Linked DNA regions of Arabidopsis thaliana. The protein of the gene in region 1 interacts with the protein of each later gene in a pairwise test. Each region holds a gene or a part of one and is shown in the gene's direction. Other genes may lie near its edges.

Region 1 (3,843 bases):
CAGGTTTTAACATTTCTCCATATTCTATGTATCTCAGCTAGAGTGATGGAAGTAAACTAAGCCTGAAAAATGTACAATCTGCAGCGTGATTTAACTGATTCAACTGTCTTGAGAAACATGGGTGGAGCTTTAGGACACTCTCTTCTCGCTTACAAGAGTGCGATACAGGGAATCGGGAAGCTTCAGGTATTATTACCGTAGCCCTAAGAAATGTTTCCACTTGTCACAAACTAAGAATGTTCTTGATATAGGTTAATGAAGCTCGGTTAAAAGAAGATTTGGATGATAATTGGGAAGTCCTTGCTGAACCAATACAAACTGTAAATTTCTCGAGTTTCTAATCTTCTATATCAATCAAGATATTTGATGTATCTCTAATCCACAGAAGTATTATGGTATCAAATAAAGGTGATGAGGAGATACGGTGTCCCTGAGCCGTATGAGAAGCTGAAGGAGCTAACAAGAGGAAAAGCTGTGAATGAAGAAACCATAAGAACGTTTATCAAAGGTTTGGAATTGCCTTCAGAAGCAAAAGACCAACTTCTGGAGCTAACTCCACACACATATGTTGGTGCTGCTGCTGCATTGGCACTGGCCGTGGATGAAGCTCTGCACTTGGGACATTGATGATGATCAAAGTGGTGATAGATTGTCCTCTTTTATTATGGTATTCTTTTCGAAATTGGTGGAAAACAGAGACAATTTATAGGTCGGTGACTTGCAAGTCGTCGTTTAAAATGTTAAGAAAAATCTTGTACCATTGTTGTGTTATGTTTCCTCTTTGAGTGTCTGTGTTTTATCTAAGTCTTGAGCTATAAGCTGTGGTCAATGATTCTCGAACCAATACAAATTATTGTAATAAAATAGGTCATATACACATTGGTGTCAAATAATAAAGAGTTCTCAAGTTGAAATTCAATTTGAGTGGTTTTTGTTTTTCTTTATAACCAAGTGTTATGTAGGTATCAAAATCTAGCAAATATATATGCATATAGTAGTCAAATAAATTGTCCACAGAAACAAAACTGAGAAATAATAATGTTAAAATGTTGTTTGTCAATTAAGAGCTTTAAGTAATTCTTCTATTTATTGCTAACATTTACATGAACACAAATGTTTTAGCCTTTTAGGTCTAAAATAAATAATATAAGATCTATCTCAAAAACAAACTTACTAGTTTCCTTTAGACTTGATCTATTACTAAAAGTCTAGTACATGTGTCCAACAATAATCTCAACTCTACACTATATTTAGTGTCATATAAAAAAAATCCTTAGAAGTTAAAAATAGAAATGGAAAATTTCATGACAATATACCATAAAAAATCTTTTACCTAGATATCTTCCTACACATTGCTATAATTTTATTTATGAACAAATTTCCCTGTGATTTTATTTGAGAAAAGCTATAAATTGAATTATTGAATTGAAGACATAATAATATTGTTTTTTCCTGCAAGTGTATATTGTTCTGCGTTTACCAAGTTCATGGCGGCCATAAACCCGAAGATTTCGTCAAACATGTTTGTTCTCTAATCTTTCCAACGACTTTCAAAACATATACATATGCTAAGTCATGCATATAATAATAACAAATGATTGAATCCTAATATTATTCTTATTTTTATAACACTACCAAAACCAATAAGCCCTTTCGTCGTTACCCACTACCCATAATTTCATTTCATTACAAAACACAACAACACATCATTCATTTCATTAGATCATATTGCAACATCTCTCTGAATTCTTCTTTACGATTTTGTAACTTCTATCAAATACCTTAATAATGGGAGCCTACAGAGCCGACGACGACTACGATTATCTCTTCAAACTAGTCTTGATTGGAGATTCCGGCGTCGGAAAATCCAATCTTTTGTCTCGCTTCACCAGAAACGAATTCAGCATCGAGTCAAAGTCAACCATCGGTGTCGAGTTCGCCACAAGAAGTGTTCATGTCGACGAAAAAATCATCAAAGCTCAGCTTTGGGACACCGCTGGTCAAGAAAGGTAATAAATCCTCGAAATTTCACTGTTTTATCTCTATATGTTCTGTTTTGTTTCATTCTTTGAACCAAACCAAACCGAAATGGTTGAACAAAAATCAAACTGGATAATTTTACAAATTTGTTTGTTTTACTATTTTGAAACCAATATAAACTGATTTAGTGTAACCAAATAAACCGCATTTTTTTAGAAATCCTCTACTTTTGATTATGTATCTCTATGGAAATTAAATTGAAATAGTTATGTTACATTAATATAATATTAACTAGATCATGATTTATTTCAATTATCAATTTCGATTTTTTTTATAAATATAATATACTTTTAATTATGTATATGTATGGAAAATTGGAATAAGTATATTGCACTGATATAATATTTGACTAGATAATGATTTTATTTTAATAATCAATTTCTATAGATTAACCAAATATAACTTTCTTGGTAAAAAGTTTTTTTTGCTAAAAGGAACCAAATATAACTTAATTCAAATCAAGAACAAATTGGAAAATAAACCAGATTACAAATTATTTTATTTGGTTTTAATTTCTATTAACCGATATAATCAATAGCCGAAACTAACCAACCGTAAACCGATCTCCCACTCCTATGCTCTCTTTCTTCTCTATATGCTCTGTTTTTGAGTAATAGCGACTTATTTGTTATACAGATACAGAGCAATCACGAGTGCATACTACAGAGGAGCAGTGGGGGCACTTCTAGTATACGACATAACTCGACACATAACGTTCGAAAACGTTGAAAGATGGCTCAAGGAGCTTCGTGACCATACCGATGCCAACGTTGTAATCATGCTTGTTGGAAACAAAGCCGATCTTCGTCACCTTCGTGCAGTTCCCACAGAAGAAGCTAGATCATTCTCTGAAAGAGAAAACATGTTTTTCATGGAGACTTCTGCTTTGGATGCTACAAATGTCGAACAAGCTTTCACTCATGTCTTGACTCAAATCTATCGTGTAATGAGCCGTAAAGCTCTTGATGGTACTGGAGATCCGATGTCTTTACCTAAAGGACAAACCATTGATATCGGAAATAAGGATGATGTTACTGCTGTTAAATCTTCTGGTTGTTGCTCAGGTTGAGATTATTGTTTTTGTTTTTGTAAACTGTCTTTTTGGAAGAAGGCTTTGGCTTTGGTTTTGTTGTATTGGACTATTTTTGGGGGCTTCATTTTAAGGTTATGAGACCGGTTTGTTTTATAATACAAACCGAAGAATTGTATTGAATTGAACAAGACTTGGTCCGGTTAATAAGATAGTTTACTAATACCGAACTGATCAAACATATATGATCCCAAAAAGGGAACTATCAAACAACCATAATCTTAGCTTTTGGTGTAAGATTTAGTTATGATTTCTCTTTAGGACATGAGTAGCCGACTTGAATCGATACCAAAAGTCTGGTGCTAACAAAGCGAGAATCTGATAAACTTATTAGTAATGTGAATTATGATATGAACATTTTATCGTATCTAATCGAAAGATTATTAGCGTCCAAGAAAATAGCTTTTCTATACAACTAAATAGCATCGGCTAGTTTTTTTCTTAGGGTTTTTGAGTTCGAACCAGCGCAGGTACATGTTTAAAATATCTATTAGTAAACATATCGCATCAATATATATAAAAAGGAAATTAAACGTAACAAAAAAAAAATTAACTTACCAAACTTTAGAAATAATTGAAATAATTTACCAAAAACCAAAGAGAAGAAGAGGAAGATATGTATAACTTATTCCACACGGAAGCAAGTTAGGTCCACCGTCCAAATTATGAGAACACCTTTCCTTCCAAGTCTAAGGATGTTTATTGTTTCGTAC
Region 2 (4,025 bases), on another chromosome or scaffold:
AGTGGATGGGGGACACGAAGGTAGAGACAATCTCGAGGTTAGCTCAATGGAGAATTGAAAATTTTGGTCCTTGTTCTTTCAAAAAGTCCGATCCTTTCAAAGTCGGAATTTGGAATTGGTAAGCTTTTCATTTTTGGTTTATTTTGGTAAATTTTCTTCGGAATTTTGATTTTTGTTTGTTTTGGGATATGATGAAGGCATCTGTCTATAGAGAGGAATCGCTATCTATCAGTGAGGCTATTCCCAGAACTTTCTCGAGTATCTAAAGAGCAACCTCCTGTTGCCAAATTTGTTCTTCGTGTCTCCAACGTTGGCCCCAATCGTAGATTCTACATCTCTCCTGGTATGTCTTGTCTTTGAATTGACTTTTCTGGATTTGGAATTTGAATTCTATTGTCGAGCTCGAATTAGGTATTTCAGGAAAGGGAATTACCTTTTATGTGGGAACTATATTCAATTATGTGGAATCTGAAAGATATTAATTTAGATGTTAATGATTGGCTGATGATTAGTAGTACCTTATGGGATGGTTACAACTGAATTAGGTTTGTTTAAGCTGAGATACTCTGTTTATTTGGTGCAGTTTATGAGAAGCTGCTGCGTACAACTGATGATTGTGTGTGGCATGTTGACTCCAGTTTCCACGGTCGATTCACCATTGATGTTGAGTTTCTTGATCTCAAAATCTGCCCTGTGAATGTAAGCTTAATGATTCTATTTATACTCTCACAATTTCTTCTCTTTGTAACATTTGTACTTCCATGGTTGATCAAATCAAATCATAATCCAGGGTGGTGAAGCTTCTCCTGTTTGGCCAACCGATGCAACAATGCAATCAATCTCTACTCAAACCACTCTCAAATGCTTATCCCGGATGCTAGAGGAAAGCATACTAACCGATGTAATCATCCACACAGCCGATGGAACACTCTCTGCTCACAAAGCTATCCTCTCAGCTAGCTCAACTGTTTTCAAAAGCATGTTCCACCACGACCTCATGGAAAAGGAATCATCCACAATCCACATAGACGACATGTCGAGAGAATCTTGCATGGCTCTACTAAGTTACCTCTACGGAAACATAACCCAAGAAGAGTTCTGGAAACACAGGCTCGCCCTCCTCGGCGCTGCAAACAAGTACGACATAACGGATTTGAAAGCAGCCTGCGAGGAGAGCCTAATGGAAGATATAAACTCGAGTAATGTGCTCGAGAGGCTACAAGAAGCTTGGCTTTATCAGCTGGAGAAACTGAAGAAAGGGTGTTTGATGTATTTGTTTGATTTCGGAAAGATTTATGATGTCAGAGAAGAAATCAGCAGTTTCTTCAGGCAAGCTGATCGAGAACTGATGCTGGAGATGTTTCAAGAGGTTTTGTCTGTGTGGAAACCGGTCTAATATACACTTACACACATACTTTGAACATTTCAGCTTGATGGTGTTTTGTTTATAGTCTTCTTGTTCTCTTCTGTGTGTGTAACTAACAACAACTCTGGATTTTGTTGTATCACTCTGTCTAATGTATAGTATTGAGTGGATTTGCCTCTAGTTTGGTGTACCGAGCCTCTCAAATGGGCCGAGCCTTTCAAATGGGCTGTGACTAGGCCTAATGACTGTCGACATCGAATGTCGGCACAAAATATGATAATTTTGTCGATGTTGAAATCGTACGTTTTTTGTTTTAATTAGATGAGTCAGCATCAGGAGGATGAAGTATCGACCGACACGTGTCCGTTGCGTCCCAAAGTAAAGCTTATAACGTGAAGGCATTTGTATCGTCTCTTCCGCCAAAATTGGAAATGGATATCGAAGTTTGAGCTAAGAATCCAATTTAGGGTTAACTTTGCCGGATTCTCAAGCAATCTCCGAGAGAGACAGTGAGGTTTCGATGGCGAGGAACGGGATTGGGAGTTCAGGAGGGAAGAAGAATGGGGCTGGGCAGTTTTTCTTAGCGACGCTGCTTCTTTGGCTTGTCTCCGTCGTGTTTGAGATTGCTTTCAATCTCCGGACGGAGCTTCTCTGGGTGATTTGCGGTGGATGCTTCTTTCAATTGATGAATTGGGTTGTTCGTTCATGGATTTCTCGTGACCCTATATTTGTTAATACCTCTGTCTCGCTTTTGCACTCAATCATCACCTCCGCATCAGGTCCCTTTCTCTCTTCTCTTATATTTGAGTTCTTACTATAGGATTGTGCTCTGTTAGTGGGGAAATTTTATCATAGGTGTGCACATTGGTCGTTGGTATTAGTCAATTTTCCTTTGGTGCTGTGTTTTCACGGTTTCATTGCTTAATGTGATTCTTATTTCCGATTGGATTAGTCTTATGATTGATTGCCATAGCTTGAGTATAATGCAGTTCTTTCTTCGTTAAGCCTTACTGATTATGATTTTTCATCTTCAACACTGCTCTTGTGTTACTACAGTGGTTTTCATACTTCTCAATCAATGCTTAGCCAAAGGTTTAGACGAGATGTTTGATCATTCTGAGTTGGTTGGTGGGACTTGGAAATGGGCATATCCAGCTTTGTGTTTCTCATGCGGCTACTTTGCATATGACCAGTGGGATATGCTTCAGTACCGGTTATACAGCGGCTTAATACCTTCTATTCTTGTTCACCATCTAGTCCTCCTTGTTTGCTTCACATTGGCACTATACCGAAATGTAACCATCAACTACCTTATTCTTACTCTCATCTGTGAGGTACGTTCCACTTTTTTCTTCCTGAAAACTTGCCCTGGCTTTTCTCTGTTCTTTACCGAATCTATGCTAACATTCTCTAGTTAAACTAGACTAGTTTCATATATAACAATCTAGTTAGATATAGACTCAACTCTACAACATCTACTTGTTCGAACAAAAGTGACACCTCTGTTATTCGGATGTGTAAACAGATGCATTCGATCTTTCTACACGTGAGGAAGCTAAGGAGAATGGCAGGAATCCGAGACAGCAACACAGCATTGGTGAAACTGGAGTGGGTATTAAACTGGACAGCCTTTGTGTTTGCGAGATGCATTCCTCACATTCTCATCACTATCAAGCTGATCAAAGACGCACACAAGTTTGGGAAAGGCGTGGAGTTACCACTCGCTCTGTCTGGTATGGCAGGAATGAACATTCTTAATGTTGGCCTCGGGTTGGATCTGTTTCATGCTTTCAGAAGAGAGAGAAGCCACAGAAGAAACCAAGAGAACGGCAACCTTCACGACCATGGAGAATAATAGCTAATTTAGAGGCAATCCATTACCGAATCTATGGTTTGTTGTTGTATGAATACTACCCACTCATCTCTTGTTTATATCTGAGGCTTTGCTACTAAGTTCTAATAGCTTTCAGATTTGTATGTATCTCTCTATAGGAAAACTACATGTAAATGTTATTTCTTGATGATTACAGTCAACAGACTTTTTTTCTTCTTGTGTTTGGGGAAACGGAACCAAATTAGAATTTTGGTTTGATCTTTGGTTGTGATTTATATATCATAATCATTATATAAAAGTTAATCTTAATGAACTTTGGTTTATTCAGTTAAATTTTGGTATAATCTTTTCAATCTATTAGGAAAGTTTGTTTAGTGTTGAGTTGATGAAGTTTGGTCCGGTTCAGTTTCCACCAATGTTTGGAAGAAAAAAAAATGCAAGAGCATGAGAGGTCCTACCGGGAGTCGAACCCAGGTCGCTGGATTCAAAGTCCAGAGTGCTAACCACTACACCATAGAACCTCAGGTGCTTGTTCTGTTGCATGTACCAGTTTAGAATCTAATCCAAAATATTGTATTTTAGACACGACCAATGAATAGATTCAACATCAGCAGTTCAGCAGCACCACAGATTGCAGTTTTCTTTGTCTTTATCTAACCAAACAAAACAAAAATCAATATTTTACTTGGTGACAATGCATCATATGAGACCATCAAACTGGTGACAGTGAAATAACAAAGATGAATCTCACAAGACATAAACGTTAAGAAGATTACACTATGTAGCAAAAGAAACAAGGGTGATCTTTTTGCTACTAACAAGTCA
Region 3 (4,270 bases), 6.1 Mb from region 1:
CCCAACAGAATATGGACCACAATCAAGCCAAAGGGTAAAATCCTTAAATCTGTCATATTTATAGCTTTCTTTAGAACCCGAGACCTCATTTGAATTTACGCAGATTGCCTCCTTCCTGTTGTACTTATCTGATGTTGAAGAAGGCGGTGAAACCATGTTCCCATTTGAGGTCAGTTTATAATATATTATTTGCTTACTTATTATACAGACCCTTTCGTTAGTTTTGATTCCATTTAAACGCTTTCTATTTAACAGAACGGTTCTAATATGGGCATCGGATACGATTACAAGCAATGTATTGGGTTGAAAGTAAAGCCTCGGAAAGGAGATGGTCTTCTTTTTTATTCCGTGTTTCCAAATGGAACGATTGATCAGGTAAACAAAGTTTGAACACATTTCATTTCTTCTCTTGACTCCTATTCCTTGGATTAGTTCATGCTAATAGGAGCTCTTTGCTGTGGTTCCAATGCTTCTGCAGACTTCGCTTCACGGGAGCTGCCCGGTGACCAAAGGAGAGAAATGGGTGGCAACCAAATGGATCAGAGACCAAGACCAGGAAGAATAAGTTAGGTTTTTTTCCATATATCTATCTCAGTCTCACAGCTTCTATCTTTTGACTAAAAATCTGCTGCTGGATCCCTCGTGTACAGTTCTTCGCTGAAACAGTGTAACTATTTAGCTTTCTTATAATGCGAATGATACAAAAATTAAAACCTGATAATGAAAACTTGGTTCGAAATATCATTTGAACAATAGAAGTTTCTTGTTGTTTGATATTTCAGTAAAAGAAATATAAGAACTTATAAGATTAACACAGAAGTGATGACAAGTGTGGATCGATTTGGGTGTTCTGATTACTTGGTATTGAGTATTTACTGCTCGTTTGAGTCCGTCAAGTCTCTTGTTAATTTGCAATGTGTACTAATTTTTTCCCTTATAACTTAACAAAATGTGTTGTATGATTGTATTTGTATCTATTAAATGGAAAATTATTTTGTCCATGTTATATATATAAAAAATGTATCTGAGCTTACACACCAGGGACCATCTTTTTATTCGAGTTTTTGTGGACACATGAGTCATGAGTGATACCGATAATAATTTTTGTTTTTTTTTGTGTGTGTGACATCATCTACGTTTAGTTTGGTTTAGAATCTTCGAAAAATTGCCGACAGAAAATAAGAGAATCTTCTCTTCCAATGATCTACGTTCTTTTTGACTAAATATATAAAAATAAAAGAGTTCATAAAAAGTGGCTAAAAGTCGGAACTTGGGACACGAACGCAACACGTGGCTTCTACTAAAGGTTAGCGTCACTGAATTAAGTTTTACGTGTCAGAAGTGATGACGTCGACACTAACCAATGTGAACAGGACGTGTAAACAACCCTAGAACACTACAGAACAGAAACAGTTTGGGGATGTTTGGTTTTTGAACCGTCCACCTTTGACGGTCACGCGCTCTTCAGCCTTCAGGCACTCTTTCCTCCGCCTAACATAGAAATTGGAAAGGTTATTTTCTCCAATAATTTGGCTTGGCTTTTGAGTTTATTGAGTGATTAGCTAATAATAAATAATAATCAATTTGTTGGCTTATATATAATCAATGTGCTAAGTAACACTATAGCTTTCACAAAAACTTCGGTTATTAGGAAAGATCTCGACAATTCTGTATCTAGAAAAGGCATGATTAATTAATTTATTAAGAACAAAACTAATTTATGAAGAACGATTGCAATGGTACGAGACGCGAGTAGAAAAACCTTTATACTCGCGAAATATACAAATTGTGTGTTTCATTATTTATTGGCATTTAAACTTTTTAAAAAAACAGAGCTCTGTTTCTTCTTCTCCACCGCCGTTATATATAAAACCCTTCCCTGAACCCCCAAAACTCTCGGAGCCATCACACGACAATGACCGGCGCATTGTTTAGAAACGCTGCTTCCGACGCCGCTCGGATCTTTCGATTACAGCGAGCAACGATGACGAATCCTTTTGGAAAGCTCGACCCTTTACCGATAGGAGGAAACATCCAGCGATTGCAGTCGAGGCCTTTTTATCGTACGCCTCAGTTTCTCGGGAAAGCAAAGGAAACAGGTGTCTCTGGTTTCTGTTCGTCTTCGTCTTCGTCTTCTTCGACGGTCTCTACAGCAGGATTCATCGGATGGTATTTGGGAATGGTGAAATCTCGGCCGGTTCTTACCAAATCCGTCACGTCCTCGCTTATTTACATAGCAGCCGATTTGTCTTCGCAGGTAATTTCAAAAATCTATCTCATTTTTGTTTTGTAAGCCTACAAATCAGATTTTAGATATTCTGTGATTATGTTCTTGTTGATTCAGTCCTAAGATTCCATTGTGTTTTCTAACAAATGGTAATAGTAGAAGTCACTGTATCTCCATTGTGCTTTAGAGATTTGAGATAGGACAAGAATTACTTCTAGATTAAGAAGTAATGATCGATTCTTAGTAATGTGGATGTAGTAGCGGGTTTTATGTGAATTGAGTTGTTATATTTGCTTACGTTTCTTTGTTCTTGTATTGTTGTTGACAAAAGTGTGACTTGTTTGATCTTTCAACAGACAATTCCACAAGCTTCAGTGGATTCTTATGACTTGGTAAGAACAGCAAGGATGGGAGGATATGGGTTATTAATCTTGGGTCCTACACTTCACTATTGGTTCAATCTCATGTCAAGTCTCTTCCCAAAACGAGATTTGATCACAACGTTTAAGAAAATGGCCATGGGACAGACAGTCTATGGGCCTGCCATGAATGTTGTTTTCTTCTCACTGAATGCAGCCCTACAGGGTAAGCTTTCAGCTGTACATGAAAAATAATCAACTGGTTCCTTTCTTATAGTCTATATATTCTTCTTTGAGCAACATATAAAAGTATGATTTTTCTGAAACTCTAGATCCTGTTGACCTTCAATCTTAAGGGTTGTTATAGAGCAGGTTGTTTGATGTTACATTCTTTCTCTAAATGGCGTTTGAAGAGAGGAGAATTGTTGTTAGAATTTGATCCTAAGCTATTCTTGATGACATCAAAGTCTGATTTTCAATTATTTTTTCAGGTGAAAATGGTTCAGAGATAGTTGCTAGATTGAAAAGGGACCTACTTCCCACAATGCTTAATGGTGTCATGTATTGGCCTTTGTGTGATTTTATTACTTTCAAGTTCTGCCCTGTTTATTTACAGGTATGTATGATTGATACCTACCACTTTATTTCCAACTTAGCTTCACTTTGGTTAACCTTTTGTTCAAGACAGATCATATATTTGCTGCATTCATTTTGTCTTATCGTGAGTTTTGGTTATCAACTGAAGTCTGGTTTCTTTTTGTCTGCAGCCACTTGTGAGCAACTCGTTTTCGTATCTATGGACAATCTACATAACTTATATGGCAAGCCGTGCGACGCCAACCGCCATTGAAATTTGAAAAAGCTCTCTGGGAAACTCTCTCAGTTTAGAAATGAAGAAATGAAGCCAAAAAACACTTTTACTAAAAGAAACAGGGCATTCTTCAACATTCTTTGTTTCCTCTCTCCAGATTTTAGGAGGATATAATGTAAGGAGTTTTGGGGAAAACTGTGCATTTGGACATGTCTTACACTCTTAGATTTAATTCAATTCTATGTTTAGTATTCCATGTAATATTTGAGTAAAATGGTGGTTCTTTAGCTTCGATCAACTTTTTGAGTCTTTACCAGGCAAAGGAAACTGTTGACACAAGTCTTTTATATTAATCCTTAGTTACATCAGTACGGTTAACAAAGACGGAAAATTTACACGAGACCAACGGAGTCAAACCAAATGCTATGTATGCTAAAATATGGTTTTTGTTCTCAATCTTATACGCGTCCCAGATTGGTAGGGTAGCAGGTAGCAGTGCGACAGCTTGTAACAAAAAAAATTGATATGCCAAATGTATTGTTTTCTCATAACAGTAAGTAAAATTTTAGAAATTTAGGGTCCTTTCTTGTACGTAGGTCCGCATATATATCTGTACCAGAAGAAAGAGCACACAAAGAACAAAACAAAACAATTTAGTAAAAAGGAATGATAAAAAAAAAAAGTAAATTCTTCTAGTTCTTTTTTTGAATATCAGTAAATTCTTCAAGTGAAGAGAATATACGTTTTGTTATAGAAAATTAGAAACTTACTATACTTCCAAACACGTTGAAAAACTCCCAATGAGATTAGGAATCTATATATAAACAATATAGACAAGAATAGTCGAGACAAAAAGAAGCTTATGCAAAAAAC

Evidence for each region. The genes of interacting proteins can lie anywhere in the genome.
Region 2: the proteins of RABA1e (region 1) and AT1G21790 interact in a two-hybrid assay, tested with the Arabidopsis thaliana proteins (one large-scale study listed by BioGRID).
Region 3: the proteins of RABA1e (region 1) and AT4G33905 interact in a two-hybrid assay, tested with the Arabidopsis thaliana proteins (one large-scale study listed by BioGRID).

Annotation. Positions count from the first base shown.
Region 1 is NC_003075.7:10,183,169-10,187,011, reverse strand, and holds RABA1e (RAB GTPase homolog A1E), read left to right. Parts: upstream 1-1,628; 5' UTR 1,629-1,788; coding exon 1,789-2,009; intron 2,010-2,676; coding exon 2,677-3,109; 3' UTR 3,110-3,341; downstream 3,342-3,843. Other genes in the region: AT4G18440 (L-Aspartase-like family protein), read left to right, coding at 1-3, 85-186, 252-320, 409-627. UniProt on the Arabidopsis thaliana protein: Intracellular vesicle trafficking and protein transport.
Region 2 is NC_003070.9:7,652,471-7,656,495, forward strand, and holds AT1G21790 (TRAM, LAG1 and CLN8 (TLC) lipid-sensing domain containing protein), read left to right. Parts: upstream 1-1,617; 5' UTR 1,618-1,886; coding exon 1,887-2,145; intron 2,146-2,422; coding exon 2,423-2,700; intron 2,701-2,891; coding exon 2,892-3,221; 3' UTR 3,222-3,511; downstream 3,512-4,025. Other genes in the region: AT1G21780 (BTB/POZ domain-containing protein), read left to right, coding at 6-118, 198-343, 584-699, 791-1,396.
Region 3 is NC_003075.7:16,253,238-16,257,507, reverse strand, and holds AT4G33905 (Peroxisomal membrane 22 kDa (Mpv17/PMP22) family protein), read left to right. Parts: upstream 1-1,747; 5' UTR 1,748-1,915; coding exon 1,916-2,257; intron 2,258-2,583; coding exon 2,584-2,812; intron 2,813-3,077; coding exon 3,078-3,202; intron 3,203-3,353; coding exon 3,354-3,443; 3' UTR 3,444-3,756; downstream 3,757-4,270. Other genes in the region: AT4G33910 (2-oxoglutarate (2OG) and Fe(II)-dependent oxygenase superfamily protein), read left to right, coding at 1-34, 104-169, 256-375, 479-565.